Astyanax mexicanus: one gene and its partners. The protein of the gene in region 3 binds, or shares a complex with, the protein of the main gene of each other region. Links are inferred from orthologs where the notes say so. Each region holds a gene or a part of one and is shown on either strand. Other genes may lie near its edges. The genes, in order: gdf5, bmp2a and hjv.

Region 1 (10,940 bases), on a different chromosome or scaffold from region 3:
GGGACACTGTGGTCCTCAAATGGTTTGGAATGAAGCAGTGTTACCCTCTGCTTACCTGTCGCACAGGTATATAGTCTCAAAGAGGTTGCACCCCCAGAGGGCAGGGCTTTATGAGGGTCCAGAAATGCCTTTCGGAGAATGTGAAGTTCTGCTCCCAGTAATCCCTCTTTTTCTAGAGAGCTGATGTTGAAGTAATACCTCTGCCTTCTTAATAGGGGCAAACGCTCATCTGAAAAAGAAACAAAGCAACTTGGTTACCAATGCAGGTGAGATTTAGCAGCGGGATCGGGATGCAGCAGCAGCTGATTTAAAAACAGATCTGGATATACGGAGATTTTTTTAAAAGAAAGGTAACGGTAGGCTAACCACGTAAACTGTGATGATATGTTTCTGATAGCTGGTTAAAAATACATGTCTCTTAATCAGCACACAGATTAAACCCACTGTGATTAATAAACTACAGCTGTGTTAGTGAGTTACCTTAACTTTGGAATTAGCTAGATTAGATTTTTTAAAGAAAAAAAAAACTATATATGTAATGTTCAACTTGACCTGTACCTGATCAGCTAATCACTATTTCATTTTAAAACTAGTTGGCTAGAAGCCAGATGTAGTGGATAGACAGAATTTAGTGCAGTACTTTATGTTTGTAGTTTAAAGCAGTTTCTTAACCCTGATCACTGCCCCAAAATAGTGTTTTCCACCTGATCCACCTGATCAGCTAATAAACAGTCATTTACTGAGTTTACCTAAATTAATCATTATGTATATCAGCAGTGTATTAAACACATCACACCACCACTTACTCTATTAAATGCCTTTAAAGCAGAGGAAGCTGTAGAATATGCAGAACAGTGTTAATATGCAGTATAACATGTAAGAACAGGGTTAAGAAACAAAGCTGTAACGTGACTTCTGTTCATTTGTAGTTCACAGTGACCACATGTCTCTATGAAACGTAAAGTTACATTCTTTTACATAAAAGGACACCATCTTAAGAAGAGCTCTCAGTAGAAAAAAAATAAAACGTAAAAAACGTAAAGATATGACAGAATTGACATGCCAATACATAATAATAATAATAATAATAATAATAATAATAATAATAATAATAACCAAATCTGTTATATTATTTTAAATATTAGCTGATAACTGATCATTTCTGTCATATGTATATTATTCAGACATTGCATGCATAATTTTTTCTAACAACAGTAACTGTAACGTGGAGTAACATGTTTAGGTTGTAAAATCACCTTATAATAATAATTTACTTTTAATTTAAAGTAATTTAGGTTGTTCTAGGAAACTACAGGGTGGACTTGGGTTCATATTGGCAAATGTGTCCCCCCCAATATCAAACCCGCTCCTACGCCCTTGGCTGCACACAAGCTTCAAGCTGTAGATACTATTTTTTAAGGTGGAACAGAACATCCAAATGGGAATCCATGTTCTGTTTTATAGGAACTGATTGTGATTTCTGAACACCCTAAGCAGAAATGTGTAAAACTCTTAAAACACTTTATCATCTATTAACTACAGTCTAAAAAGGGAGTTGTGTTTTAACATAGAGAAAATTTGTTTTAATGCAGGAAAAATGTTAATGTGTTTTAAGAAGAAACTTCATACGCTGCAGTAGACCTCATGAGGAATTAGTTACTCAGATGAGTAGTTTTACAGTAAACTGGTGTTTAAGACTGGTGTTTTTAGTTTCTATCTTTTTATTAGGCTACTAGGAAAAATAACAATAGCCAGTTTTTTTGAAGGCATTAGCCAAGCTATGTAAATGCATTCCTATATCTCCCCTTAACATTTTATATTGTAGTCCCAGTGTCAAAATATGTGCATGAGATGGGACAAAATCCTTATCTACAGTAATTTTTTAGTTACATTCTTATTTTCTATTTATTTAGAATTAAATAACAAATGATTTCTATTGGGGAGATCCTGTAGAATATGAATTGAAATTGAATGGCGAGAAAGATAACAGCCAGTAGCATTGTGTGGTATGTGCTACATTAGCTGACAATTATCATTGTATAATTCACACCCTGTGTACAGCACAAGTGGTTTTATATTGTCTTGTTGAAAACTTCATGGACAGATGTAGTCGTAAAGGCAGCATATGTGGCTCTAAGATCTCAACGTATATTTCTGCATTAATGTGCATCACAGAAGTAAACTGACACACCCCCATACCATGACTGACCTGCACTCGGACTTGCTGATAAGACATTCATTCATTCATTCATTGTCAATTCCCGCTTTATCCGTAAGGGTCACGGGGGTGGGGTGGTTTTGGGTGTTGGGCACTAGAGCCCATCCCAGCCAGCATCAGGTGGAAGGCATTCATTTCTTTCAAAAAAATATCTGCAATACTGATTTTTCTGACCACAATACTCATTTCTACTTTGTGATGGTCTATCCCAGATGCCATAGAGCCCAGAAAGTTGACGCTTCTTCTGGACTGGATTAACATAAGGTTTCTGTTCTGCAGTATCGTGGTAAGTGGTATTAGTGAATGTAACTTTCATAGGTGCCCTTACTCCTTACACACTGAAATTCCTCCCGATTCGAAGAACATTATTTTTAAACATTCTCATACATATGTTATAAACTGGAGAGCTACTGCTCATCTTTGCTTTTCAAAGAACTTTTCCTTGTTTTGTTTTCAAATCATAATTATATTCACCTGTAGACATAACCTTTTTGAAATCATCATCATTATTTACATCATTACTCTTGATAGGCAATTTCGAAGTTTAATGTAGGATACTTTTCTCACTTAGAATATATAAATCACAGTGTTCAGAATGCAGCAGCACGACTCGTCTTCAATATTCCGAAGTTCAGTCATGTGATTCCTTTGCTGCGTTCATTCCACTGGCTTCCTGTTGCCGCCCGCATCAAATTCAAAACCCTGACACTGGCCTACAAGGCAAAGGTGGTGGAATTAACTTCCACTGGCTGTCAGAACAGCAGAGTCACTCACGGTCTTCAAACGTCGACTGAAGACACATCTTTTCAAAGAGTTCCTAAACTAATCCAAAAAACAAAAAAGGTTCCTAGGGTTTTAAACATGATCAAGCTCTGCGTATCTCTGCGTATTTCCTAGTCTACAAACTAACTTTGAATATTTAAAGTAACATCGAAGCACTGTTGTAAGTCGCTCTGGATAAGGGCGTCTGCTAAATACCTTAAATGTAAATGTATATATATCATATGTTGTAATATGTAATTTACAACAGAGAAGAAAGTTATGAACCCTGTTTATAATTTATGCTTTTTCATTCCTCAAGTAACAATATTTAACAGTAGGGCTGGGCGATATTGAAAAAAATCTTATCACAATATAGTTTTTCATATCTGCCAATATCGATATGTATTACGATATAAATCAAATCACTTTCTGCTACACTTTAAGGTTTCTTTATACTCATAGGTGACAGAATAAGGGCGTTATGGCCAAAATTACTAGCAGGCTCAGAGCCTTGTGGACAGACACTAGGATGTCCACATCTTGCCAGGTGGGCACAAGGTGCTCAGACAGCTTTTAAATTAATTTTAAAGTCATTATACATCCACACAGGTCCGCAGGCAACTACATAAAGAAAAATACAATAGTATATCACAGTGTTCATTTAACAGGTGATTTTGATACAGTTTAGTCTTAGTCTTTTGACTAAAATGTATAATAGTTGTAGTTACATTTTAGTCTATCAGATATTATTAGTTTTAGTCACATTTTAGTCTAGTTTTAGTCTCATAAATTTTGGTCATATAAAAAGTATGTATTATATATGTTTTACTGTTTTTCTATTTTAGATTTGTTGTTATTTTGAGATTATTTACTGCTAATGTTTATTAAAATAAAAGTTTTGTTGCATTTAAATTATGCTAACATTTAAATATTTTAAAGCAAGTGACCTGTAATGGAGGTGGGACGAATAAAGTCAAGTTTAGGACAAAAACGGAAAGTGCTGCTTCTCTGTGTGTTTATATACTAACCCCTCACTCGTGCTGAAGCTAACGTTAATTTACACGGAGAGTGGATTAACACGGCTAACGTGCGTTACCCATTAGTTTATTAGAATGTAAAAAGCAGTGAAGGAACCTTAGCTAATGATGACCTCTCTAAATATCTTGGTGAGGAGACTCCATGCCACATATTTAGAAGTTGAGTGTTCCATGGTAGCTCAGCTGAATTTATCGTATAAATGATATTTATGGAGTAAACGGGAGAGGCGACGCTGTGTGGATGAGCTGTGTGAGTTTCAGAGTGAGGGGGTGGGGGTGGGGGGATGGGGGGAGGGAAGTTTTTTTTACCTGGGCTGAGCAGAGGCAGTTTAGCGCGCTGCCTGATCGCGTGCAGCGCCTGTTTGCAGCGCTACTTAACCGGGAAATAGAAAATAAAGTTAATCGAATCCTATCGTCCAGCTTATCATATTTATCGCGATAAATATTTTCCTCAATAACTATCGTTATCGTTTTATCGCCCAGCACTATTTAACAGTGTTTAATTTGTGGTGCTTAGTTCAAATTGGGTAGGTTTTTCCCCCAGCAACACTTACTTTTTTGCCCCAAAATACAAAGTAAAAGTACTGCAGCCTATATGGCCTGTAAGTAAGTCATACATGTTTAGTTAGAAAAATAAAAGTAAACTAGGTTGTCACTGTGGAACATACAACCTGTCTGGGTTCCCACTATTCACCCTCAGTTAAACCAAAACTTTCCTGCTAATGCAGAAGACCTGAGAGCAGTGTGTTGTTTTTATTTTTGCATCTGCATTTGTCATGGCCATCACATGGCCACACAGCTGAACAGAATCGGTAAAGACAGCCTTGCTCATATTCAAAGGCACGCTGGGTACAAATCCACGACAACTTAACAAAGAACACACGGTAAACAATGGAAACCACTAACAAGAGAAAGTCTGGCATTGTGGTAAACAACCACAACAATTCAGGTCCAAAGGGAATGACAGGACCTATATATACAGAGATAATACCAGCATAACAAGACACAGGTGTTTGGTGAGGAGCCAGAGTGGAGGTGAAAAGTCCCTGACGGCAGTGGAGGGACTCTGAAATTGAGTGATTTACTGTCAAATACTTTTAAATTGATATTTTTGCATTATAACCTTTATTCCCTTTAACTTTTGTGTTTGAGTACATTTATACAGTAATGTTTTGGTAAGAACTGACTGCTGGAGAGAACACCTCCATTCAAGATTATCCAGCCAGTGTTTACTTTCAAGCATCTATTAAAACCAGAACTCCTCAGCCTGCAGAGCTGATCATGCTCTAAACACAACTATTATCAACCTGCAGCTATTTACCAGTTTGCGCTGTACCATGACCTGGCATAAGCTGATAATGGGAAAACAGCGTATGAGAACTGTGTATCTAGGTAATAAGTGTGCTTGCTTGCATTATCTGAATAACATAACAAAACAAAATAAACATGTCAGTGGACAGTGAGTGTGCGAATACATAAAATTTATATTAACCCCTATATAACTGATATTATTGTAGGCTATACTGTAATAGACCGTGTAAAGCCATACAAATGTTTGGCCACCACAAATTTTTCCAACTTCTCAGATCTTTATAAATACTCCACAAAGCTCTTTCCAACAAGCAGCAGAAATGTATCAATGTGTTCCTGAAACTAACAGTGTTGATTTAACACTGACATGTAGATAGACATGTAGACAGACAGACCTTGCCCTTTGTCCACGAAGCTGGTGATGGTGTTGGCCATCCCGGCCTCGTGCAGCGCGCTCGTGTTCACCTGGCCGCTGGACAGGGACCAGTACAGAGACAGCATGTAGTCGTGCGGTGTAACTAGCGGATGAGCGCGCGCGCTCTTCTCCTCGTGCGCGCCCCTGGTCTTGGCTGTCTTGCGCGTCGCCGTTTGCGGCTGGTGCGCGGCCGCGCTCCGTCTCGCGCTCTCCGAGTTTGATTGGTGGTGCGCTGGAGAGCGCAGGGCCGCCAGAGCCCCGGCGCGGATGCGCGAGAGTCTGAGTCCGGCGCGTGGCGGCTCTGGTGCGGCGTTCGCGCACAACAGCAGCAAAAGAAGGAGGAGGAGCGGCGGGGGGAAGCGGCTCGCTGCTCTCATGGTGCAGTGGTGGTCGTCGGCGCGCGGACGCTCTCACGCTGCGGCCGCGCAGCATGAAGGAGTCCGAGGAAGCGCGCGCACGGGTTTAGAGCCGCTCTGCGCGGGAACATGATGCAGCTGTAGAGCAGCAGGGTCCGGAGCAGCGCACTGACCCCCACACATCTCATACAGAGAGAGAGAGCATCACCCTCTCCCTCACTTTACCCGCCTGTGTGTGTGTGTCCTCGCTCTGCTCCTTCACATCTTCTGCTCTCTCTCTCTCTCTCTCTCTCTCTGCGTCTCTCTTTATACTCTCTCTCTCCTCTCTCTCTTTCTCTCCCCGTCTCTCTCTCTCCTCTCTCTCTTTCTCTCCCCATCTCTCTATCCCCGTCTCTCTCTCTCTTTTTCTCTCTCTCTGCGTCTCCCTTTATTCTCTCTCTCTCTCTTCTCTCTCTCTCTGCATGCTGGGAGTGGGCGGAGTGAATGTGGGTGAGGGTGGCTGAGTGTTGGAGGTGAGCGTGTGCTTTTCTCTGTTTATTTATTTATTTTGTTTGTTTCTCTTTTTTTTCTCCCCCTGTTTATCAGGATTTAACTTATCTCTAAAGTTTCACTGGTTTCACTGTTCACTACATATAACGGGATATTGGCGGCGGGTGAGAGATGGCGTCTCGCCGCGTGGTGGGGACGCCGGCTCTCTCCCGTTCGCATGGTTTCAGGTGTGTTCCACCTGTTGAAGCTGTAGTGGAGGATGTACTGATCGCGGTGGGTGAAAAAATAGGCTGCGAACAGATTCACTCCGCGTCGCGCATGAACAAAGCCGTGGTGGTGTTTCTGACTGATAAACAACTGGTTAACGGGCTGGTTGAGAGCGGGATTTGGGTGAAGGAGAGCTATGTGTCGGTATCTCCTCTGTCCACTCCCGCCACGAAGGTTACTATTTCAAATGTTCCTCCGTACCTGCCCAATGAACCCATAGCTAAGGAGCTGAGTCGCTTTGGCAAGTTTGCGGGCGAGATCAGCCACATACCGCTGGGCTGCAAGAAGTCAGGACTGAAACATGTCCTGTCTTTCAGGCGCCAGGTGCTTATGTTCCTTAATAGCGCGGATAAGACGCTCGTGGCCTCTTTCCGCGTTTCTGATGGTGCAGGCTCATACCTGGTTTACGCCAGCACGGACAGTCTGCGGTGTTTTCAGTGTGGGACTGTCGGGCATAAACGTTTCGAGTGCCCGGTTAATGAGCAGAGGCGGGATTCTACTGCAGCCGGACCCGGTAGCGCCCCGGAACGGGACGCTGCGGACGCCGCTCCAGAGGATCCAGGTGAGGGTTCATCCACAGCTCTAGTTTCGGAGGTCGGTCGTGGAGTTAAGGTAAGTGAGCGTTTGGGAAGAGGTGTTTCAGATAGTGGGGTTGATCAGCAGCAGGTTAGCCAGGGTATTAATGAGGCTGATTGTGGTGAGGCGGGTGCTCCCGTGAATACTGAGGTGAGTGCTCAGGCTAGTAGTGAGGTTGGTGCTCAGGTGAATGGTGAGGTGTGCACTCAGGTGAGTGGTAAGGTGTGCACTCAGGTGAGTGGTAAGGTGTGCGCTCAGGTGAGTGGTGAGGTGGGTGCTCAGGAGAGCGGCGAGGTGGGTGCTCAGTTGAGTGGTGGGTTTGGTGCTCAGGTGAGTGGTGCATTGGGTGCTCAGGAGAGTGGTGCGCTGGGTGCTCAGGAGAGTGGTGAGCAGGGTGCTCAAGAGAGTGGTGAGCAGGGTGCTCAGGAGAGTGGTGAGCTGGGTGCTCAGGAGAGTGGTGAGCTGGGTGCTCGGAGTGAGTCTCTGTCTGGTTCGGTTGTGTCCCTGGAGGAGGACATGGAGGAGGACAGTATGTCTGAGGTCACTGATTTTGGAGCTAGCCAGTCCAGTTATGAGCAGCTGTACTCTGTGGAACAGATAAACTCTTTCCTGGATGAGACTAAAGGAAAAACTGTGGAGGTGAGTGATTATTTTCCTGATCTGGACAAGTTTGTTTGTTCAGTGTTGATGGTGCAGAAGAGTGTGGGTCTAGACATTCTCCCAAGAAGGAATCATTACCGGCTAAAGAAACATGTTACTGCTATAAGAAAAGCAAAAAAACAAAACGGTCTGAGCACAGATCACGTGGGGAAAAGTCTTCTCCTGTTCTCTTTCTCTGTTTCTGGTTTTACTTTCTCTCTCTATTTCTTACTTCTATTTGTATGGGAGTTTTTAAAGTAGGCTCTTTAAATGTGAACGGTTTTAGAGACCGGGGTAAACAGGCTGTGTTTTCTGAATTTTTTAATCTTAAGAAACTTAATGTGTGCTTTCTACAAGAAACACATAGTGATGAGAACTCTGTGTCTGATTGGGGGTTATGGTGGAAAGGGGATTTTTATCTTAGTCATGGTTCAAATGTTAGTGCTGGGGTAGGTTTTTTTTTCTCCCAGTCCTCTATAGTGTCTGTTCTTTCTGTTGATGAAGTTGTGGCTGGGCGTTTGCTTATGCTGAAAGCGATGGTTTATGATCATGTTTTTGTTTTTATTAATGTGTATGCTCCAAACAGGGGACCAGATAGAAGTGAGCTGTTTGATAGACTGTGTCAGTTGTTACAGTCACTCTCCTCGGAAGACACAGTTGTGTTGGGTGGGGATTAGAACTGTACTTTGGATTTTGTACATGACAGGAACGGTGAGGAGCCTCATCCTCAGTCTGCTCGTACTCTGGCAAACATCATATCAACTTTTGATTTGATAGATATATGGAGGGAAAAACATCCCACGACCAGACAGTATTCTTGGATTAAAGTTACGGATCAGAGAGTGGCTGCGGCACGCTTAGACAGATTATATGTTTCAAATAGTGTAAGGAACATGGTAGGCCGGTCTATGATTCAGCCCACTTCTTTTTCTGATCACCACTTATGTACTGTGGAGTTTTCTTTTGTTTTTCAGTCTCCTACAAGCTGTATGTGGTATTTTAACAGGACACTTTTGCAAGATAAAGTTTTTTGTGAAAATTTTAAACATTTTTGGGCAGAGTGGGTTGGAAAAAAGTATATGTTTGACAGTCTTATGCAATGGTGGGAAGTGGGAAAGGCCCAGATACGGGTCTTTTGCCAGGAGTTTACTGCTTTCTCTACCTTCAATCTTAGACGTGCAGTTGGTGTGCTGGAGCAGGACATTACCAGAATCCACAATGTAACGATACAACAAAATGTGGTGGATTTACGGGCAGAACTTACTGTGAAGCTGCAGGAACTGAGTGACATTTTACATAAAAAGGCGAAGGGAGCTTTGGTTCGGTCCAGGTTTGTGTCTGTGCAGGATATGGATGCCCCTACTGCATTCTTTTTTAATCTTGAAAAGTCTAATTCCCAGCACAAGACGCTGGTCTCTGTTCGTAAGGAGGATGGGACAGTTACGACAGACTTGGTAGAGGTGAAGAGGCTGGCTGTGGGTTTTTATGCTGAGTTGTTTACGGCCCGCCCTCCGGATCAGCAGTGCATTGAGACTCTTCATGAGGATCTACCTCACCTGGATGGACAGCAGCAACAGGAACTGGACACTGCTTTATCTTTTGAGGAGGTTACTAAGGCTGTTTACCAGCTCTCTTCTGGGCGAGCACCTGGTGTTGATGGTTTACCAATTGATTTTTATAAGACTTTTTGGGGAATTATTGGGAAGGACTTGTTTGAAGTTTTGCTGGCTAGTTTTGAAGCTGGTGTACTTCCAATGAGCTGTCAGAGGGCTGTTTTATCTCTTTTACCAAAGAAGGGGGATCTCTGTTTTTTAAAAAATTGGAGGCCTATGTTCTGATTATAAGATTTTATCACGCTGTATAGCAAACAGGTTAAAAGGGGTCCTACAACGGGTAATACATGAAGATCAGACTTACTGTGTACTGAAAAGATCTATTTATGATAATTTGTTTTTACTTCGTGATATGGTTGACTATGCAAAAGTGTGTAAATCGGAGTTTGGTTTTTTATCCCTTGACCAGGAGAAAGCTTTTGATCATGTAGATCATGATTATCTTTTTTCTACCATGAGAGCTTTCGGTTTTGGAGATGGTTTTATTGCTTGGGTTAAGCTGTTATATTCGGGTGCTGTGTGTTTACTCAAGGTAAGGGGTGGTCTGAGTGTTCCTGTTCCTGTTGGCAGGGGGATAAGGCAAGGTTGCCCCCTGTCTGGACAATTGTATTCACTTGTAGTAGAACCTCTTCTCTGTCTGCTTAGGAAGAGACTGTCTGGTTTACAGATTGAGAAGTGTTTAATTAAGGTTTCTGCCTATGCCGATGACATTACTGCAGTAATACGACATGAGCAAGATGTGGTGTCCCTAGAAACAGCATTGCAGGTTTATGGTTCAGCCTCTTCTGCAAAGCTAAATTGGGATAAAACAGAAGCACTTTGGTGTGGTTCTGTTAGTAGAGAGTACTCTTTACCAGCACTTCCAGGTGGTATTAAGTGGAGTCGGACCGGGCTGAAGTTTTTAGGGGTGTGGTTGGGAAATGATGATGCTAAGGCCAGGAACTGGGAAGGTGTAGTTGAAAAGGTTCGTGCCAGGTTGTCTAAATGGTCTTGGTTGCTTCCCCAGTTATCATATAGGGGTCGAGTTCTTGTCGCCAACAACCTCATTGCTTCTGCTTTATGGCATAAGTTCACTGTGCTTAATCCGCCAAGGTATTTGATTGATGCTGTTCAGAAGGCACTGGTGAACTTCTTTTGGAGTGGACAACACTGGCTGAGAGCTGCAGTCCTGTACCTCCCTGTGCAGGAGGGTGGACAGGGGTTAATTGATATTCGATCCAGAGTTGCTGCACTGCGGCTGCAGGCTGTACAAAAGCT
Region 2 (10,940 bases), on a different chromosome or scaffold from region 3:
TGGACAAGTAAATGACAAGGAACCTTGCTTCTTTAACAGTGTCCCCCTCCCTTTCAACCCTTGCAAAACCATTCGTGGCATAATCAGGGCATTAAATTAACTCTTCTACCATCTTGTGAACAATATAGATTCATTTAGGGAGACTGGGGAGGCTTTACTAAGACTTCACTATGGCCCAAACACATTTCAAACTTTTGCCCTACCACTTACCCTTTCACTTTGTGCAATCACACCTAGGGGTTTAGGGAGCTCCAATTCTCGTTGGGATAGGGGAGTAGGGTGAAGCATTATGGCTACATTTATTTATTTATGGCCCTCCTGATTTTTCTTCCAAACAATTTGTTACAATAAAAAATCCACAGGCAAGATGGCTGCACAAGTGACCGAAGAGACCCACCAATGTTGTGCTTTCTTTGTTCAAAAATATGATAACCACCCTTTCTTATTAACAAGAATAAACATTGCTAGTATAGTTCAGATACATTTCACATTCCACCTTAAATGATGCAGCAGTTACATTCAGTTACAACTGCGGCTCCTGCATGATTTACGGTGGAACAGGCAAATTATCTGAACAAAAAATAGTGAATGTCTAGCTAACTTCAGCTCCCTATCACAAATGAATAAGGAGTGGCCATAAACAGGTGACAGGGTTGCCTTCAGAGCATCGCTAACAGTTTTGACAACGTATCACAGTGTCCCTTTTCTTAGAGGGAGGATTTCAACACTTAAGAGTGAAAACAAGGGGTTGGTTACAATTGAGAAATGGGATTGGGTCTATAAAGGGGAATGGATTAGCCTTTGGGAAACCCATGCATCAGAATGAGAAGGACATATAGTAACTGTCTGTAAGGCTATTGATAGATTTCATAGGCTCGCACTGTAGACCTCACGCACACCAACAGTTCCAAAGTTCCTGAGCATTCAGTGTCAACTACCTGTCACATTGCTTCTAGATAAGTGCATTCACATTCACCACTGCTTCTCACTGCAGGAAAGGCCCAACTGGAGTGCATGCTTTTGGATTACTCAACTAACTGAACCAATTGGACTGGTTTCCCAGACAGGGATTAAGCCTAGTCGCAGAGCATACAGCACAGTGAATGGGGATTCTCCACTGGAAGAGATACTAGGTCTAGAGTCTAGGACTAGGCTTAATCTCTCTCTGGAAATCCAACCTATTCAGTGCTTCATGTGACACTAAAAAAAATTAAGGCAGATGGGACTGTCACTGAAACGCTTAACATTAGGTTTAAATCTTCATCAACTCACAATACACAAGCCTTGCTTTCCACTCTAGAAATGATAGGAGACACATAAACCAATCTATGGTGGTACGGTGTGTTGTGGATGTTTTACACATCTATATGTATATATATTTTTGCTTTGAGTACACATAAATAGATATATAAACTATTTAAACTATTCCCTAAAAGTGGTTATGCTAGAAATAAATACAAAAACAAAAAATCTGAGCTGTATACTTCATATGCGGAACTGTACTAGTTGAAATGTACATCAGAAAAATACATTAGCTGAACTCCAATTAAAAATATTTATTTTCCCATTAATGGACATAAATATAGCTTTATATACTTTGTTTCCAAAATATGTGTTTTTACTTTAGCATAAATAAAAGTGTAGTACTGGGTCATAAAGTGTCTTCGCAAAAAAAAAAGTCTCTGCTTAAGGTCCATCAGCGGCACCCACAGCCTTCCACCACCATGTCCTGGTAGTTTTTCAGGATCACCCGCTCGTACTCGTCCAGGTAGAGCAGGGACACGGGGCTCAGGTCTGTGGGCACGCAGCAGGCCTTGGGAATGTTTGTGTTCACTGAGTTCACCAGCGTCTGTACTATCGCGTGGTTTGTGGAGTTGAGGTGGTCTGCCAAAGGGAAGGGGCATTCTCCTTGGCAGTAAAAGGCGTGGTAACCTGGAGGAGCCACTATCCAGTCATTCCAGCCCACGTCGCTGAAGTCCACATAGAGGGAATGCCTCCTACAGTTGGCTTTGTGCTTCTTCTTCGGCTTGTTGATCCTCGCTTGCCGCTTCTGCCGGCTGTGGAGCACATGTCCTTTCCCGTCGTGGCTGAACGTCACCAGCAGAGGCCTCATCTGTGGCCACGAGTCCTCGCTGTCATGCAGCGATCTGCTGACTCGGACGTGCTTCTTGTAGTCCCCGTCTGCGTCTTCCGGGTGAACCACTTCCACCACAAAGCCGTGGTTGGCGTGGTCCTCGGCAGTCCACCGCGAGACGGCCGGACTTACGTCAAAGCTCTCCCACTTGCTCAGGCTGTGCTGCACCAACCTGGTGTCTAGGAGTCTCGTAATGGGCTCTTTCAAAGGACGCCCAGGCTTCATGATCTCATAGATGTTAATGCGATGGCGCCCAGCGAGGCTGCTGCTGTTGCTGCTGCTCCTGCTATTGGTGGCCGCCATGACCTGCTCCCTGTAAATCCTCAGCTCGGCTGAAGTGACAAACTCCTCTCCAGGGATGGAGCTCAGATTGAAGAGGAACCTTTGAGTCGTCTTTCTGCCATGACTCAACAGCTGCTCTGTAGATTCTGAAAAATATGGAGGAAAAAGAGATGAAAACAAGTTTAATATTTATTTATCTTATAATGAAGGCCCTACTAAAATAAAACCCAACAGAAAAGATAGAAAGAGAGAGAAATATCACATCATTTTTTGCCTCAAATTATTAAGAAATACATATAAAAATCTGTCTTCATGATACAAAGAAACAAAGAGATACAAGGTGATTTGAGACCCTTCAAGTAATGCACTTAATTACAGGAACTTTGAATATTTGCCAGTTCTTGCAGTGCATCCCAAGTCTGTGTTTACAGTCACAGAGAAAGCGTGACCTCTTGCTAGTGACACTATCTTCATTACAATAACACAAATGCAGCTTGACCTCCCTCTGGACTCCTAATGTTTAATTCCTCCATGTTCCCTGTGTCAAATCCACCAAAACTGGTTCAAAGACATTTCCAAATTGTAATTCCTCAGCTCAAAATGCATTTCTTTTATTCAGAGACTCATATGTAACTATTTTAAGTTGCTATAGTAATTAAATACAATATTAAATATTAAGACAAATGCATTTCTATTGAAAGGCAAATAATATTCACCTGTTTTCAGATTATTTCAGGCAGAAATGTGTTTTAAGGGTAGTCTCATAAGTACATTTCGTTAAATAAACATATCTCTACTATTATCTGATTATTTTACCTACTTTAAGAGGCACAGTTGTATCTAAAGGACTGTGTATCTAAAAAGTTTCAAATTTGAGTGGATTTTAAAACTTTCGTTTTTTACAGTGTGTGTTCTTTTGCGAAGGTTTGCGAAACCTTCAGATGTTTCTGATCAAAACAAATCAAGCTTTTATTTCATTTAGTTCAAAGGCACTTCTGAAAAACAATTCTTAAGCCTTTCTTTTAATTGAAAGACTATATGGATTGTCTAGGTAATACATTTGCAGAAAGTAAAATGAATGCATGGTTTAATGGCAAATATCCACTTGTTTGCAAACTGCTTATTCTTCTTATTACACAGTTATGTTTGAACTGTGCAGTCACTTTAATATTTATTTATGTATATACGTATATATGCCTTATATATAATTTTGTCTTCTATTTATGCATGCTAAAGAACCTGACTGGGCTAAGAATTGGGAAGAGGTGTTCAGAGAGCAGAACAGAACAGAACATTTGTGTTTGTGAGTGGTTGCAGGAATGTGCTGCCCGTGTTCCTTCTCCTGCCCTGTTGGTGTTGGTGGCTGGCTGGCTGGCTACACCTGTTCCTTATTTTCAGTGAGGACACTGCGTTTTCTGCACAACCAAGATTGCGCAAACATCTCCATAAACAAAATGAGTTTTTTCTCTACCTATTTTCTCCCAGGATAAGTAGTAATTTAGATTGGTGTGTTTGTATCTTTACCATGGACCTCGACCTCACTCTACCGCCAACTTAATTTGCTATGTCACATGATTATAGTCCGCAGTGTGAAGAGCTCTCTCTTGTGAGGAATGAAGGTAATGCAATGTGAAAAGCATTATTGCATTTTTAGCAATAAATAAACAATAAAATATGATTTATCTTATAGCTCTACCTCCACCTTAATTTGCTATGTCACATGATCATAGTCTGCAGCATGAAGAGCTCCCTCTGCTGCACAGGTAATGCAGTTTGAGTTTGCATTTTTGCAACTTTTTGGATGTGTTTATCCAAAAAACTTGTATTGCGATAACAATAAAAATACAATTTATCTATTTATACAATTTGTCTCCAGAATAAAGAGATCTCTCTGCTGCATAAACATCTCTGGAAAAAAAATTAAGAGATCACTTGATTTCCTGAATCAGTTTCTCTGATTTTGCTATTTATAGGTATATGTTTGATTAAAATTAACATTGCTGTTTTTTTTTTTCTAAAAACTACAGACAGCATTTCTCCCAAATTCCAAATAAAAATATTGTAATTTACAGCATTTATTTGCAGAAAATGAGAAATGGCTGAAAAAAAAACAAAATAATGCAGAGCTTTCAGACCTCAAACAATGCAAAGAAAACAAGTTCATATTCATAAAGTTTTAAGAGCTCAGAAATCAATATTTGGTGAAATAACCCTGGTTTTTGATCATAGTTTTCATGCATCTTAGCATGTTCTTCTCCACCAGTCTTACACACTGCTTTTGGATAACTATATGCCCCTCCTGGTGCAAAAAGTCAAGCAGTTTAGCTTAATTTGTTGGCTTGTAATCATCCATCTTCCTCTTGATTATATTCCAGAGGTTCTTAATGTGGTAAAATCAAAGAAACTCATCACAAGAGGTCTCTTAATTTTGTCCTGAGCTGTATGTAATGCAATTTGATTTCAATTATTGCAGTTTTGGGGATTTTTGGTTTATCATGGAAACTCATATCATGATAACAATAAAAATATGATTTATCGTACTGCCCTAGTATGCAGCATGTAGAGCTTTCTCTTTTGATGCAATTATTATTTTCGCACTTTTATCTTGATCCCTATGAAAATATAATGTATTGTACTGACCTTGTTTATATTATTAACACTAACGCGATAGTTTTTTTTTTTTTTTTCAATTTCTGCTCGCTTACCATCATGGTGAAAGCTTCTTATGGTGTTCGCGCGGCTGGCGGACTTCTCGGACTCTCTCCCGAGCGCGCGCCTGCTCGCGCCGTGCTTTGGCTCCGCGTTGGCGGAGTACGCAGTGAACAGGTCCAGCATGTAGCGCGGAACCACGGCGGACCTGCTGGGGGTGGGCCTCTGCTTGAGGCCGAAGAGGCTGAGGAGTCGCGCCTCGAAGGTGCTGAGGGTGTCCTGCGACAAGGGCGCAGCGTATCTCCTGCGGCCCGGCTCGGGCACGAGCCCCGCGGAGCCCCCGAGACGCGCGTAAGCCAGTAGCAGCAGCAGGAGGGGCAGCGCGCGGCGCAGCGCGGCGGAGCGCATGGTCACCCAGCGCCCGGTCGGTCAAGACCTGGGGGCTGGTGGCGCTTAATCACACGGGCACGGGCAGAGGCGCGCGTCCACTTGGCGTCTCCGGTACCACTTAGCCATGTCCGTCACTGTGGGTCCTCCTCCTCCTTTATGTCCTTCTTCTTATTATTCTTCTTCTAGCTTCTAAAGTTGGACCTCATCCTGCTCACGTCTGCTGGACGTTAACACGCAAGCGTATCGTAGACGGTTGGGACCCTAAGTCATAGTCCCAGATAAAGAACTGGAGAACCTCCTCAGCAGGTTCTAACCAAGCACTCGCAGTCTGTCCATCAGTAGAGGAAGATAAGATGTAGAAGCCTCCACTGAAGAATCAATCCAGATTGTACCAGAAGTTGTAGTCTACCTTCACCACCTTGTCCAATCGAGTCCAACTGTGTTTTGAGACCTTGAGTGCTGTGGTGGGTGTATGCAGTATGCGCGCGTAAACGTGTGTGCGTACGCGCGTGCCCTAACTACGTGCACGCACTGCTAGCTCCAGAGGAGAAAGTCCAGCAGAAGAACTCCAAACTCTTCAGAACTCAGCTGCCCAGCACCAGTAATTGGCTACTTCCTTTCAAATCATTGCTGGTTCCATCTCAGGGTCCTCCATCCAAAACATCCATCTCTGAGAGCTTCCCAAACGCATGGACCTCCTGAAGTCAAGTCAGAAGAGCAGCAGAAGGTCTGGTTTTCCTCCTATAGACAGATAGAGAGAGAAAGAGAGAGCTTGGTGGAGTCTGGTGTGCGCACTGTTCTCACTGACACTCTCTCTCCTTCTCTTCCTCTCTCCTTCTGCCCATGTGGCTTTTAGTGGCTCAGTGATGTCACGAATGAACACAGCGAGCAAAGAAGAAAAGAAGGAAGAAAAAAAAAAAAAAGAAAAGAAAATCAAACACCACCCTATCCATGCTGTCAAATAAGGATTAATAATGGTGTGGTGCTCGGGTTCCCAGTGGTTGAAACGGTACAGGTACATCCAACACATGAGATGACTGATGAAATTCCCTCCTCTCCCTTCATGATCCATTATCTCTCCTAAAAAGAAGCAAAAAAATACAGCTTACATATAAAGCCTTAGGATCATAAAATCCACCCTACCTTAAATACAGCAGAATTCAGCCAGAAATATTTATTTTTACTAACTCAATTGCTGCTGTGTTCCACTACAATAGACCAAATCTGGTTATAGAGCACCAACCAGTGGAGGGAATTGAGAAGTACATCTCCCACACCAGCACAGCACCACTGCAGGGTTCTTTAATCCTGGTCCTGGAGGGCCAGTGATCATTTTGGTCTCCTTAATCCTCAAGCCTCAAAATACTGCAAACCTCAGTTTCTCAATTATTCATCTTCGGTCCAAATGTTGAGGATTCCCAACAGAAACGGCCCTCAGCTTTTTTCTTTCTGTTGGCAGAGGTGGCCAAGTCTCATACTTAAGTACATAAAATTGAATATTTGTACTTTTATGTATGCAAGTAAAAATAGTAGAAGTATGATTTGTATTACTCAAGTAAAAAGCATGTCTTTAAACAGGGGCCTCTAATTTTTTTTATTCCCTTTTTATTAAAAATGAGAATAAATGTATACACACTTTGAGCTCAATTGAATTAAATTAAACAATTAAAAATACTAAAGTTCACTATTTTTCTATTTTGCTCTTTTAAAAATGTACTCCACCCACTTAAAATTAACAAACAATCCTCTCCTGTTTAACTGTGTTGGTGTTTAGGTATTTACTGGTGGTAAATATAGTTTATTCAGAAAACTTTTGACAGTGTTGACAGTCATTGTTGTCCTTATAGATTTGAAAACACCACGAGTGATTGAACTGTACTGGTATACTTGTAAACTGAGACTTTTCAGGGGCCATACCAACAGCAGTGCACACAGTAAGAGGCCTAAATGCATGTATAAAAGCAGCAATTTAAAATAAATTAATTAATAAATCAAACATGCAATCTCTGTAAAACTTGTCAAAAACAATTTAAGTTTTTTTTTTATTTTGTTATTTGCCACCTTTGCTTATTGGACTGACTGAACCTTGGATTTAAATTAACAAATGTCTAAAAATGGGATGAAGAATCTGAAACAAGGTAGGTTATTTTTTGTTTAAAAAAAGGCAAGTTTTTATTATTTTCCATTCGTAAAATACAAACAAACAAAAATGTAGCTCATCTGCAGCCGCATTCATCCACCACCATGTCCTCATAATGCCTGAGGACAACATTGTCATTATTGTCATAGTAAAGCATTGAAATAGGAGACAGTTTGACCGGGACGCAGCAGGGCTGAGGCGTCCCCTTTGGGTCAAAGGAGTGGACCAGGGTCTGCAGAATGGCGTGGTTAGTCCCATTCAGACTCTCACTAAGTGGAAAAGGACACTCTCCATGGCAGTAGTTGGCCACATAGCCCTGGGGCGCGATGATCCAGTCCTGCCAGCCGACGTCTCTGAAGTCGATGTAGAGGCGCCTGGGCTTGCACACATTGCTGGGGCTCACAGGCACATAGTAGGCACTTCTCTTCTTCCTCGATCTACACTGGTAAGGGTTCAGAGACACAACCACCAGTGACGTGACCAGTTCAGGGACCCCCACAAAACTAGAGTCATAGTCCACTGGGTCCAGCTGGTTGTCTAGCCGAGTAGACTGCAGAACAAGCACCAGCCCAAAGTTCTTGCCTGGCTTCCTCCACCATTCAGCCAGGTCGGTCAGGTTGAAGTGGACGGTAGTGCTGTGTGTGTAATGAACAGACTGGGAGAGCAGCAGTCTGCGGCTAGAGTCATGGCTCATGCCTTTCAGTGAGGTCCTCAAGACCTTGTAGAGGTGCATGCTGAAAGTATGCTGACCAACCTGGTGGGACAAGTGGGAAAGGTCTGGCTTGAACTTCAGCTCAAGCTGGGCAAAAGAAAGCTGCTCCACATCCTCCAGAACAGACATGTTGAAAAAAAGATGCTTCTCCACACCGTGGCTGATTGAGTCAGAAATGAGTCTACCTGTTGAGAAAGATAACAGATCATGTTCAATATTTATTCAATAAATAAATATAAAAATAAATAAATAAACAAACACCAATAATTTATATCATGTTACACAGGTAGGCAAATGCAAAGTATATGGATTCTGCTTAAAGACTCTTAACCCAGCAGGATGTGGTTGGCTAGCTAGGTGATCAAACCAATTCTCCCTGCTACACTAGGGATTGTAGCAAATATTGAGACTCCAGGTTCAAACTAATTTAAAATCCTGTATTTCTCAGAATATTTACTGACCAACAGTGGAAAAACAAACTAAAAACAATACAATGTTCCTATGCCTTTTTATCTTTGCTATTCTTTTTATAATGTATGATAAATGATACAAATACCAGTAATCATGCACATGTTTCATATATAAAAAAAAGTTTAAAACAAAACAAGAATGATTAAACTTGCATACATCTGTAAATAAAATCATTTTAGCAATATTTGATGACCTATTCAAGAAGTAAACCAATTAGAGGAGCAACTGACTAAGAACTATACACATATATAAAGAACTAGACTAATAGAAATTGACTAAGAATTTAAAATAAATAAATAAAATTATATATATATATTTTATTATAAAAAAAATAATAAAATAACTTGATTTAAAACATACATATATCCACACACACACTCCGCATAGCAAAGCAGCCGGCGCCAGAAGGCAGGCTATGCAGAGCTTAAGCTATGGTTATAGGATGTAAACAGTGCTTTTTAATAAGCTTCTTGTCTACTTTTTAAGTTATTAATGCCTCGTTTTAAATGTCAGGGCTCTCCGGATTCTAGCAATAAGTTGTGGAGCTTCTTTGAGCCATGATAACGGTGGAAAAAGCGATTTATTGTGGAAGATTTTGCCCCGTGTCACCCAGTCTGAAGGGTGTTTGGACAAATTGTTAATTTCTGGATCTCGGAGCGCTGTGGGAGAGCAGAGGTGTGCTATTCATCAATGTTAAGTACTTTTTATCATGTTTTACTAAACCAAAAGTCCATTTTACACCGGAGTTCTCCTTTAATGATGGGTTAATGGGGCACAGGGAGGTTTGTGGTGAGAACAGGGGCAGGGGCAGGGGCAGGAAGCTCACCTTGGTCCAGGACATATCTGACGATGTTGCCCCTCACTCCGTACTCCGGCACCGTGCACGGATCCGGGTCAGTATCCGGTCGCTTCTCGTCGGTTTTCTTGAAGATCCTCCACAGTAGTGAGGGCACAGGACCCCGAGCTGACGGCCTCGGCCGACTGGAAAGACCCAGAGAACTTAAAAACAGCTGCTCCTGAACCTGCACGTCCTCCGTGCTGTCAATAAGTCCAAACGAGCAGAAACACGACAGAAATAAAAGCCTAAAAACCGCCATAGTGAGCAGATACTGAACAGAGAACGCTAACGAGTCTGCCGGCTGCAGGCGTCCAGATTAATCATTTAAAAAGTGCGCCTGCGTGCGGTCTGACGTTTGATTGGCCGAGACAACGAAGGCGCGACGATTAGACAAGGAATAAATTGAATTGTTGTGCAAATTAGGAGCGTTTGAAGGTACGTGTGAACGGAGCTAAAAAAATCCAATTAGCCCATCACTTCCAGTTTGCTTTGACAGGGACAGACAGAGTAAAGGTCTAATTAGTTTATCCTTTTTATTTTTTTACCTTGGCTACCTTTATTCTTTGGCTTTACCTTTATTCTTGGTTTCATTGTGAGAACTGAGAGAGCTAGGTCAACATTAGGAATAAGGAACTTTTTTATCCTTCCCAGCTGGCAAACAACCAACCTTCAAGGGTGAAATGTGTTTGAAATATGGTAATGTCTATTGTTGTTTCAACAGCAAGAGTACCACGAGATAATGATAAGAAATAAAAATATTTAAAAATAACATTTAATAATACAAATAAAATTGTTGGTAAAGTGTTGTTTTATATTTTGATACTCAGCACACCAATACTACGTTAATACATTTCTGCTGTTGCCTGCTGCCATTGACAGAGAAAATTTCTAATTACCTTATTACTGCATTCATTTTTTGTAATATTAATGTTGTCAATAAAGATGTTTTGAAAATATTTTTTTTCAGACAGATTTGTATCTGTTAACCAACAATTCCTTTAAAAATTACGTTATACATTTGGGAACTGCAGCAATTACAATAGCTTATTTTTTTGTTTTACAACTGTCTTACCATAACAATTCCAGCATTTTTAAATAACATGTCTTTATTGTTCCAAATGTAATATCTGTAAGATGATAATTTATGCTTGTAGACCAATTGTCATGCTAGCAAAACCTGCTTGTGAAAAATAATGGTATCAGCTTTTTTTTGATGGTTACGGTGTTTAGATAAAAAGCTGGTAATCAAGGAAAAAACCTACCCTATGCTGTAAAACTGGCTTTATTTTCCTATATGTTCCCATATGTTCCTGATGAATGGACC
Region 3 (10,940 bases):
TGACAATTCTATTAAAAAAAAAGAAACAAAGAAACAAAGAACTAGAAAAGATGTCTAGTGAGGGGAGAATTTTTATTTTATTTTTTTATATTTTTTTTATTTTATTTTTAAACTTTGTTTTGTTACTGTTCCATTGTTTCTAAACAAAAAATGTTGATTGTGATACTAAAGTATTTTTTTTATCACTTACAATGTTTGGTGAAATTATATCCTAGGTTTTTGGATCATTTGGATCTATAAAGCTTAAATATTAAAAAGTATCGGTATCAGTATCGATATCGGCAATACTGGCCCTGCGTTTACTTGGTATCGGATCGATACCAAAATTCCCGGTATCGCCCACCTCTAATAAACAGATATAAAAAGCTCACCTTGTGGGGCTGTAAGGAGAACTAACAACAGCACAATGAAACCATGACACCTCCATGTGGTCTTTGTGTGGTTAGTGCAGGTGGCCCGTTCTCCCATTACCGTCCATACACACACAGCCTCAGCGGGCTGCTGAAGCTCCTTACAGTGTAGTGGTGGAGTAGAGTGCTGAGAAGAACTGCAGCCAGCATCCACATGAGGGAGACAAGAGCAAACACAAACACTGAAATCAGTACTTTACTTACAAGTCCATAGAGACTCATTTCAGTAAGCTTGATTACTACAGTACGAATAGATTTCGAATAGATGTCCCCTAGTTCTATTATTCAGCTCTTAATTCTAAAGCAACATAAATAAACATTGTTTTGTTCTATAAACTACGGACAAGATTTCTCTTAAAATTCCAAATAGAAATATTATAATTTGGACCTGAAATAACAAAAAAGATGCAGAGCTTTCAGACTGATTATATTCCAGAGGTTTTTAATTTGGTAAAATCAAAGAAACTCATAATTTTTAGGTGGTCCCTTATTTTTTTCCAGAGCTGTATTTGTGCCATACCACAGGGTCCTATTTTGTAAATGTTAATTATGACAGTAATGCAGTTATAAGTGTGGGCTTACATACAGAGCGTAATGGGTATAATGCTATTATAAAAGATATTGGTAAAAAAAAAAAAAGGACCATATGTCCAAATGTTTGTGAACAGCCCTTCTATAATGAATGCATTCAGCTACTTTAAGGTGGAGCCATTGCTGACACAGATGTGCAAATGCACATTTCAGCTTGATAAGTCCCTGTAGCAAAGTGTTGCCTAAAGAATATTAACATGAAACTATGGGCTAAAGGGGACCTGTTCATAACTGTGAAAAAAACTCTGAAATGATGCTGCTCAGTCCTATACTTTTGGGATGAGTTGGGGAATCTGGATGATGTCAGGTGGTCAGGATAGTTGTACTGCATTGCACCTGCACAATTTGAATCTACTGGCTTTTTGGTACATGGTACCTGGTTCATTTTCTACTGTCATAACCCCCACCTCTCAATATGTCATGAATGATGTCACAAAACACTGCCAATATGTCATCTTCCCAGCAGTGAGAATGCTGAAGTCACATAATGTAATTATGATCTCTGAAGAAAGATTACACCTTTTATGCTTTAGTTTCTGGAACCACATATAAGCAGATATAATGAATATCCAGGAACCAGGTTCCAAATTTGCCTAATGGAAAAGCAAAAAAAAAAGCAGTCGAGAGTCGAGTCACATAGTTCAGGTTCTACATAGTGGAAAAGCTCCATAAGGCTCTTGTTGCTGAATGAATGCAATCAAATCTTAACATCAATGCTCCACTTTCATTTCCCTTTTAGTAGAAATTCTTCTCTTGATAATTCAATCAGTTACTTCAACAAAACCAGGAAGAACTCTTTTTTTTTTTTAATACCCATGATTTTGGAGAACACAATGAATGAGCAGGTGATCTAATACTTTTTGTCATACAATGTTTCTCAAGACAACAGTATTTAATATGATCTCCACCTTTAACCCATCTGTGCAGTAAATACACTGCTCAGGACCCAACCGAGGCAGTTTCCTACACCAGGGTATTGAACCCACAACATCATCATTTCATCAGCAACCCAGTGGTCTAACCATTAATGATGCTGAGGTTTTCAACTTAGTAGTAGTACTGAAACCAGAATTAGAGTAAAGCCCCATCTGGACAGGATTAGTTTGTCAGGGGGTCCTAGGGTAATTTTCTCTTTTATGGGGGGTACTCTGTGATTTTATTCCTATCTGGAACGAACATGTATGTGTTTTTCTCAGACGTCCTGAGAAAAGGCTGAATTACCTACTGTTTTTTGCTGAACTCCATGGTTGTAAGGTCATTTTAGTCTCTTAGTTTTATCACCTCACATTTAATAAAATAGCTATTTGTCCACTGCCACGTACCATAATTAGACTTTTGGCGTGCCTTTTTACAGAGAAAGGATAATAAACACATTTGATGAGTTTGATGTCCCAGAGCTAATGTTCCACATTTCAGTGGACTTTGATTGGAGCTTGACTCCACTGTGGAAATCAGAATCAGACCAAATCAAATGTGCATAGCTCTGTGATCCCAATCTCTCACAGTGGCCACCTGTGTCATTATCAATGTCCAAAATACAAGGCCAGTTGTTTCACCAGTGTCCACACTGGTCTATTCTGGTTTAAGAGTGCCGTTGCTTTTGTTGAAAGGGACATGGTGCAGTTTGGACCCTTGGTGCTGTTCCGTTGTTTGCAGAGTGGAGAGCAAACACTGAGAGGAAGCCAGCTAACTCGAAAGCCTCTGTCATTTATGCTGAGGCCAAGAAGCTCTAAAATGAAGTGGATTCCTAAACTAAGTTTACATTATTTCAGAAATAGCTATAAAAGCACGGTGGAGTGGGGTAAATAGTGACGAGAAGAGAAATCCTTTGGCAAATGTACACGGTCTCAAATATCATATTACGGCTGAAATGTTCATTACTGAGCACTTCCATTGATTCTGCTCGGCACATTCCATTCCTTATATATTTATGGGTGGATCTAATTCAGCTTCAGGGAATCTGCACAAACGTTGACGCACATTTGTGAAGGATTATGTACAGAGTGCTTTCCTGAAATGCTGACAGAGCCCGCTATGACATTTATTCCAGTTGATGGGATGGCCGAGGGGACAGTAGTAATGGGGTGGGGTTTACAGGGTGGGGGAAGGGGTGTAGTTACGAGTTACGGGGCAGAAATAGAGGGCTCTAAATATACCCCCACCATGCCGGCCTGCTCCTCAAACCTTCCCCTTTCCCCGCCCTGCCCTGTCCCGTCTGAAATAGCTGGGGATGAAATGCAGGGCTGGTAAGGCAGGTGTTGGAAATACAGTAGAGCTTCCAGCATTCTGCCCCACATGGACTATCTCCTTCCCCCAGCAATCTAATTTCAACTGGGTCTCTGCACATGCAGGATGGCCCAGCTATTTCTGACATTCTCTGCTATGGAGGGTCTTAATGCTTGTGAATGGCCTGTGCACCTCGCATTTGTCCACTTTCATCACTTTGTTAGGATGTGTGTGTGTGGAGAATGTTTTAGCTGTGTATTTTGGAGCATGTACTTTCACAAAATAGCTGTAGATACTCTAAGCATTGTGGGAGGAGCACCGCTAGCTTCAGAACACAGAGACGACACTGAGATGTTGAAACAACAAAGTAAACAATAGATGCTCTCAGACAAACACTGGGTTTCTCCCCCTACTAGTCACAGCAGTGTCTGATTCACAGGTGTACACACACACACACACACATGCACTCACACATTACTGTAATTAACCCCTTCCGGAAACCATTAGAACTAACTAAATTTTAACATATGTAGCATATATAGCAGAAACACACACATTTACATTTTTTAACATAATGTGAATCTAGCAGATGTTCTTTACATTGTTTTCAAATTGCACAATGAATGGACAAATAGAAAAGCTCCAGAATTACTTATGATAAGTAAGTTTTGTTTTTAAGTTTTTCTTCTCCTGTGTTTTGTGTCAGTGACGATACATAGTTTATTGACACAAGTATTGAACCCCCTGCATATTCATTGTGAGCGTATACAATAGTTTATACTGCTTTTGTTTGAGTAACTGTCTCTATTGTCTAAGAAGGTTTTTTACTCAATTGTACTAGAGTACTGCTGTACGAATTTGATTGCATTAGGCAAAAAAGTGTTAGGTAGACCAGGATGTTGGATAATCACCACCCTTCCTCATCCACAACTCCCTAACTCATCCCAAAAGTATTGGATGGAGCTCCATCATTCCAGAGAACACAGATCCACAGTTCCACATCTCAATGTCAGTGGGATTTATACCCCATTAGCCCAGGGTTTCTCAACACAGGCACCCTGCCCTGGACTTTTATTGCTTTCCCTTCTTCCAACACTCCTGAACTAACTAATAAGTTAATGAACAAAAGCTTTCAGAATGGCGGTGGGCATGTTAAAGCAGAGAAACCACAATAATTTGCAGGGCAGAGTCTGTGCAGGACTACAATTGAGGTTGTAGCCCCAATTGCTCTTTGCAAACAATAACAATTGCTCTAGACCCAATATTAAGTTTATGTTCATCTGCTCCAGAGAGTCCCATTCTATTTGTGGTACTCTACAATCTACTAGGCAAGTTATGTGTAAGCATTTGCCCACCTGTGTCAACAGTGGGAGGAACTTAAAATAGCAGAATGCATTCATTAGAAGGGATGCCCACAAAAAAATTGACATATTGTGTTTATTACAGGCACCATATGAAATGTATATATTGTTGTTTATGCCTACACCCAATCTTTAAAATCAAACAAAAATAAATTGTTTTAAAATGTACAAATAAAACCTTTTTTATGTAAACAGCACATCCCAAAATTAAGTTAAATTTGCTGGTGCTGATATAGTATGGTCCTCTTTGTCTCTGGTTGTCCTACAAAGTTAAAACACACATACACGCACATCTGGAAGCTCCCCTGCTGTATATATTTGCATGCCATAATGGATATCCAGCTGAAGCTAAAATTATAATGTGATGAAAATAAATGGTTTCTTAACATTAGAAATCAACACAGTTCCACTAGGGCCCACAGCTAGCTCACTGTCATCTCAAATGAGGGGAGTATGTCTACTATTTTTTTATCATCGCATTTAAGGTATGTTAAGGGTTTTGGGCCTGTTTTATACACCACTTTTTATACAAACTTCATACAATAAAAAATACTGTTCTTGGCTCAGGCTGAATTTTATAAACAACACACAACATCACAGCATTGGCAGATGAGGTCTGATCTTAGATTAGTGCACAGAAATACACACTGTCCTAACAGACACAGAGATATTTGTCATCTCCATTAAACACCTGTAGTAGATCTGTGTGTGTGTGTAAGGAACATTTTAAAGGTCTAAAGACCCTTCTCTTCATGTAGAGGATATGTTTTACCAATGTTAACTAATATGAATGGTTTTTGCTTGATGTAAAAGTTATTTCCAAACACACAGGTTCTTTACACTTACACATCACTGTTACAGACATTGTTGTTCTATTTAAATTTCTAAAGAATCTTTAATTGATTTAAATGTTCTTTACTAAAGGTTCTTCATTCTTATCCCAGTCCAGAAGTGACACTGAGGTGTTTAAAAACTTTAGCAGCACTGCTGTATCTGATCCACTCATGTCAGAACAACCCACTTTTACCAGGTCAGTGCTGAGAATGATCCACCACCCAAAAAATAGCTGGTCTGTGGTGGTTCTGTGTGGTCCTGACCATTTGAAGATCTGGATGAAAAGGAGGACAATTAAGTAGAAAGTAGAAATATAAGAACTACAATTTACACTCTTATAGAACTACAAAGAGTTGAACAAATTAATTATAGGTGTAGAAACAAGGAAGAGGTCAAAATGTTATGCCTGAGCTGTGTATATATTTAAAATATAGATTTTTATTTTTATTTTTATTTTTATTTTTATGACTACACCTACAAATTTTAAATAACTATATTAAAAGTCTCATTTCTGCCATTTATGGTGTGGAATATTTATGATAGACAGGTTTTTTAGACATCCAAATGTCTGTAACATATTTTAAACATGTTTTTTTCTTTATATAAGCAATTATGCGTCTTCTATATAAAATCTAAATAGACATTTGTCGAACTTTTATTTTTAAGAGTGCACCTGGTCCAAACAAGCCCCAGTTTCCAGCAGTCACGCGCCAGTATGGAAGACTGACTACACCAGTATCAGCAGTTCAGAACTTACCTCTGGTAATGGTGAACTGTTCGCTCCGTTACACCAGTTTGGAACCCTTCATATCCACCAACGCACTGGTTCTGCTCTTCACCTGTACGCATGCAAACTGAGTGTGTATATGTGTGTGTGTGTGTGTGTGTGTGTGTGAGAGAGAGAGTAAGTAGAGCAGTGCTAGTGTGTGTGTGTATCTGTGTGAGTTAGTGTGTGTGTGGGAATGAGTGTTTGTAAGTATGTGTGTATGTGTGAGGTTTCCTCACGCGCAGTGCGCACCTGCCACGCGCGCGACAGCTGCGCGCAGAGGAACAGCTAGCAGAGCAGAGCAGGGCTCGCGAGGGCTATTTTAACCAGAGCAGCAGCAGCAGCTCGAGCTGTTGCAGACCCCCTCCCGACTCACAGGGGGGCTGAGTGTTTGTTAATGACCTGTATTATCTTAAAGCAGTGATTCGGTGAATAAAACAGGTATTCAGACTCACCTGACTGCTCCACGCGCAGCAGCAGCAGCGAGGCTACCATTCTCAGTCTGTGCAGCACGTGTGTCTGTTTTCCTACACTTGAGAAAAGTCTCAGTTTAGTGTGAGAAGTGTGTGTTTACCTATAGAAACCCATTTCCACTAATTAAAACAAATCCAGCACCATTAGTTTTTTTCTCTTTTGAGATACTATCTCATTATTTTGAGATACTAAATCATTATTTTGAGATACAAAGTCATTATTTTAAGATGCAATCAAATTATTTGGAGATACTTAGTTGCTATTTTGAGATGCTACAGTATATCTTTATTTTATCTCATTACTTTGAGATACAAAGTCGTTATTTTGAGATGTGATCTGTTTTGAGATATTAAGTTGCTATTTTGAGATGCTTTATCTTTATTTTGAAATACTAATTCATTTTGAGATGTTATCTCATTACTTTGAGAGTCGTTATTTTGAGATGTGATCTAGCTATTTTGAGATACTAAGTTGCTATTTTGATGGTATATCTAACATTCATTTGTGATAGCACGTCTTTCTTTTGCAATATTACGTCATTATTTTGAGATACTAAGTTGTTATTTTGAGATGCAATCTAATTATTTTCAGATATAAAAGCTGCTATTTGTGATCTAACTATTTTGAGATACTAAGTTGCTATTTTCATGATCATCTTTATTTTGAAATACTAATATTCATTTGTGATACCAGGTCTTTCTTTTGCAATATTTTTAAATGCTATATAGTTATCTTGCAAGACTTTATTCTGAGATATTGTTATTAATTTCAGATATTATGTCTTGAGATGTAAAATCATTATTTTGAAATACTAACATTTATTTGTGATAACAGGTCTTTCTTTTGCAATATTAAGTCATTATTTTGAGATCATTAATATTATATTAATATGCAATATTAAGTAATTAAAATAACCAGTGGAATGTTCTATTGTTTTTCATAAATTTAATGTTTCTTTTTTAAGGGACTGAATGCATGAATAATGTTTAGCAACTGATAATATTAATATTATATCACATTGTCTCTATACCTCTTTGCTGAGATAAAGCTTTAGCTGTTTATTTTATTGTAGTAAAATCATGGTAATTAAAATTGTTTTAGAAAATTAAAACATATCTTTAAAACAGAACCAGGCCAAGAATTAAAATATAAATAAATATAAAAAGAGATTAAGCTGTGGAAAAAATATTTTTGTGTAGTCTAAAGCCTTAATATAAATATATGTATATAATTGTAAGTAGTTAAATCATTGTTTTTAGGTTTTGAGACCCTGTATTCTGATAATGACCTTTGTGTTTTGAACTGAACGTATTGTGCAGTACAGTTAACATTCATACATCCATGAAAATCTGTTTAATATTCACAGACTCTCCAAAGTTATTTACCAGAACAAATCCAGCCCTGTAGTGTGTTTACTGCATTATCATGAACATTCTAATATCAGATCTAGCAAAAAGTGATTTAAAGTGCCTCTTACTGTTAGTGATAATTACATCACATACACAGCTCAAATGCCCTCCACCTACACAAATGTCTGTTTTACTGAGAACCACCTATTATTGTTGTATTGTTGTAACAAAGTAATGCTAAATCGACCCTATCCTTATTTAAATCTAACTTAGCCTAATCTATATAACTATAGCATAACTCCAACTGAACCTTTACCCTACAACTGCTCATAAAAAATGCTTATAACACTAACCTGAAACTAAAACCTCAGTAACCTACATCTAACACCAAACTACAGCTCTTTAATTTACAGCTACATTAATCCTAATTTCTGTGATTTCCATTTAAATCTAAATTTAACATCCATAACCTACTCCTAAACATAACCTAAGAAACCTACACCAGCACCCAACCCTAACCTCCGTAGTTTGTTCCTAAGGCTGCTGTGGTACACAGGTGGAAGAGAGTGGGACTCATTTGGGTCAAGATATAAACAGACATGAAATGGGCAATCCAGGACACATGGAATTTTAACAGTTATTAACAAAAAAAATCAGTTATTTTAAATATATAAATTTGTAAATAACAGTAAAATCTTTTTTAGTGTTGTTTTTTTTTTATAAATGGAGGTTTGTCAATATATTGTATATTATTTTAGCTCAGTTTCATTGATAATCCAAAAATACATTAACATGCATATCATCCATACATCCATACATCCATAATACAAGTCACGTTTGGACACACCTTATCATTTAATGTTTTTTTTTAATCAATTTTCTATTTTCTACACTGTAGTTTATTACTAAAGACATCAAAACTATGAAGAAACACATATGGAATTATGTGATAGACAAAAAAAAGGTTTATGGCCTCTACAATCACCTAAACCTAAACCTAGTTCAAAATCTAGATGAAGTTGGAATGCAGTGTGAAGGGAAAAAAAATCAACAAGTACACAGCATCTCTGAGAACGTCTTTACGTCAGAGGACCATTCCATGTTATGTTTACTACATACTACCATATTGTATTCCTTCAGAGTTTAATTATCTTCAATACTTTATATATGTATATATGAAATGCAATGTAGAAAATAAAGAAAGAAAATCATTTAATTAGAAGGGGTGTGTCCAAACTTTTGACTGGTATTGTATAAACTGCTCCTGAGTTTGTTTGAGATCTGATGGACCCCATCTTCTCTCAGTGGTCTTGGTGCAGTTGTTTTAGTATACCTTTGAGTCAGATTAAGGTGTCCAAATGAATCACACCAAGACTGAAACTGAACCGCAGTCTGATTTCAACTGAACTAAGAACTACACTGTTTACTTTAACCAGATAATCAGTATAGGTATTAACAAATGACATATTTGTTGTTGCTCCGTGTTAAATCAGACATATTTGACCATCCATCTATCTCTCCATCCATACATACACCCCACCCACTCACTCACTTGATCCCACTACTCCATCTATCCATCCATCCATCCATCCATCAATTAGTAAAACCATGTGAACTCAGCACTGATGTGCTACTATTTGACACACTTCATGAATTATTTTGTTGGTACACTACATTATAGCTATTTTTTCCCGTTCACCCCTCCTCTTCTACAGCTCTCTCTCTCTCCCTCCCTACCTCACCCTCTCCCTCCCTACCTCACCCTCTCCCTCCCTACCTCACCCTCTCCCTCCCTATCTCACCCTCTCCCTCCCTTGTCCTCTCTCCCTATTTCTGTCTCCCTCACCCTCTCTCTCTTCATCTCTCCCTACCCTCCCTTTCTCTCCCTCACCCTCTCTCTTTTCATCTCTCTCTCCCTACTTCTGTCCCCCTCTCTATCTCCCAACTTCTCTCTCTTTCTCTCTCTCTCTCTCTCTCTTCCTCTCTCTCTGCTCCACTGAGCACTCTTTGTTGACTGCGCTGATGGGGGCGGGGCTCTGCGGGACGGGACTCCTATTGTGCGGGGAGATTTGGGGGAAAGAAAGGCAAGAACCGAAACCTCGTTGTTGCAGGCGTGCCAAAAGCGTGCAAGCGGACTATGGCGGAGGTGGAAGCGGCTGTGCGCTGAGAAACACGCGGTTATTAGCCGTGTGTCGTTGTGTTTGGTGTGGAGCAGTTTGAGTTGTGAAGTTGAGGGAGGAGCGCGGTGGTCAGCAGCAGCAGCAGGAGCTCCGTGGCCAGTTCCTCTCCCTCTCCGTGTGTTGGCGTGTTTTGGTCGGTGAGTCTCAGCGTTGTTTTGTGTTTTTCTTTAGCTTTAGCTCGAGTCTGAGACATTCGGCGTTGTTGTGGGTGTATAACTGAGCGCTGGTTAGGTATAGAAGCCGTTAGCTTAGCCTGTTTGGGGGAAAGTTGGCTAGTTAACTTTTCCATGCTAATGCTTGGTCGGGCTCTTCGCCAGCTACGACGTTTCTAGGCAACCTGTTGTCCGGGAAACACTGCGCTGCACGTTGGCACGCCGAAATACGTGCTGTACGCGCTAACGCTAGCTAATTTTAATAGAATTATATTGTTTATTTTTATTATTTATTCTAACGAATTTGTCTATTTTATAGTAAGATTATATGTACGTCTTTATTCCACATCTACATTTAAAAATGATTTAGAATTATATATTTAAATGTTTTTTTTTTTTATCTGGGGCGTGGCCACTTCCATGCCCCGCCCACCATGCGTTCCCTCCAAAAAAAATCTTAAAAAGCAGGCCTTAATCCATCACAGTTAAATAAAAATAATAATGATAAATTATTCTGTACATAAAACACTTTAATAATGTTTTGATACTTTTTAAGTGTAAGTAAATAAATACATATTTTTTTTATCCACTCTAATT

What was found.
Region 1: the proteins of hjv (region 3) and gdf5 are in contact, whole or in part, in a crystal structure (PDB 6Z3L), measured with the Homo sapiens proteins. The link is inferred for Astyanax mexicanus from reciprocal best matches to the Homo sapiens genes HJV and GDF5. Residues at the interface, in NP_001366281.1 of Homo sapiens: Arg95, Arg98, Gly99, Leu101, His104, Ser105, His108; in NP_000548.2 of Homo sapiens: Met412, Trp414, Trp417, Phe478, Asp480, Ser481, Lys488, Tyr490, Met493.
Region 2: the proteins of hjv (region 3) and bmp2a are in contact, whole or in part, in a crystal structure (PDB 4UI1), measured with the Homo sapiens proteins. The link is inferred for Astyanax mexicanus from reciprocal best matches to the Homo sapiens genes HJV and BMP2. Residues at the interface, in NP_001366281.1 of Homo sapiens: Leu40, Asn43, Tyr46, Val47, Tyr86, Leu101, Ala102, Ser105, Ala106, His108, Gly109, Ile110, Asp112, Leu113; in NP_001191.1 of Homo sapiens: Phe331, Pro332, Ala334, Asp335, Leu337, Asn341, Ile344, Val345, Leu348, Ser351, Val352.

Annotation. Positions count from the first base shown.
Region 1 is NC_064412.1:43,765,555-43,776,494, reverse strand, and holds the start of gdf5 (growth/differentiation factor 5), read right to left. Parts: upstream 6,486-10,940; 5' UTR 6,121-6,485; coding exon 5,724-6,120; intron 230-5,723; coding exon 1-229. UniProt on the Homo sapiens protein: Growth factor involved in bone and cartilage formation. During cartilage development regulates differentiation of chondrogenic tissue through two pathways.
Region 2 is NC_064421.1:16,601,462-16,612,401, forward strand, and holds the start of bmp2a (bone morphogenetic protein 2), read right to left. Parts: upstream 6,371-10,940; 5' UTR 5,474-6,370; coding exon 5,122-5,473; intron 2,563-5,121; coding exon 1,697-2,562; 3' UTR 1-1,696. Other genes in the region: gdf3 (protein DVR-1), read right to left, coding at 7,672-8,492, 9,605-9,875. UniProt on the Homo sapiens protein: Growth factor of the TGF-beta superfamily that plays essential roles in many developmental processes, including cardiogenesis, neurogenesis, and osteogenesis. Induces cartilage and bone formation.
Region 3 is NC_064413.1:41,790,405-41,801,344, reverse strand, and holds the start of hjv (hemojuvelin), read right to left. Parts: upstream 6,495-10,940; 5' UTR 6,272-6,494; coding exon 6,180-6,271; intron 548-6,179; coding exon 372-547; intron 1-371. UniProt on the Homo sapiens protein: Acts as a bone morphogenetic protein (BMP) coreceptor. Through enhancement of BMP signaling regulates hepcidin (HAMP) expression and regulates iron homeostasis.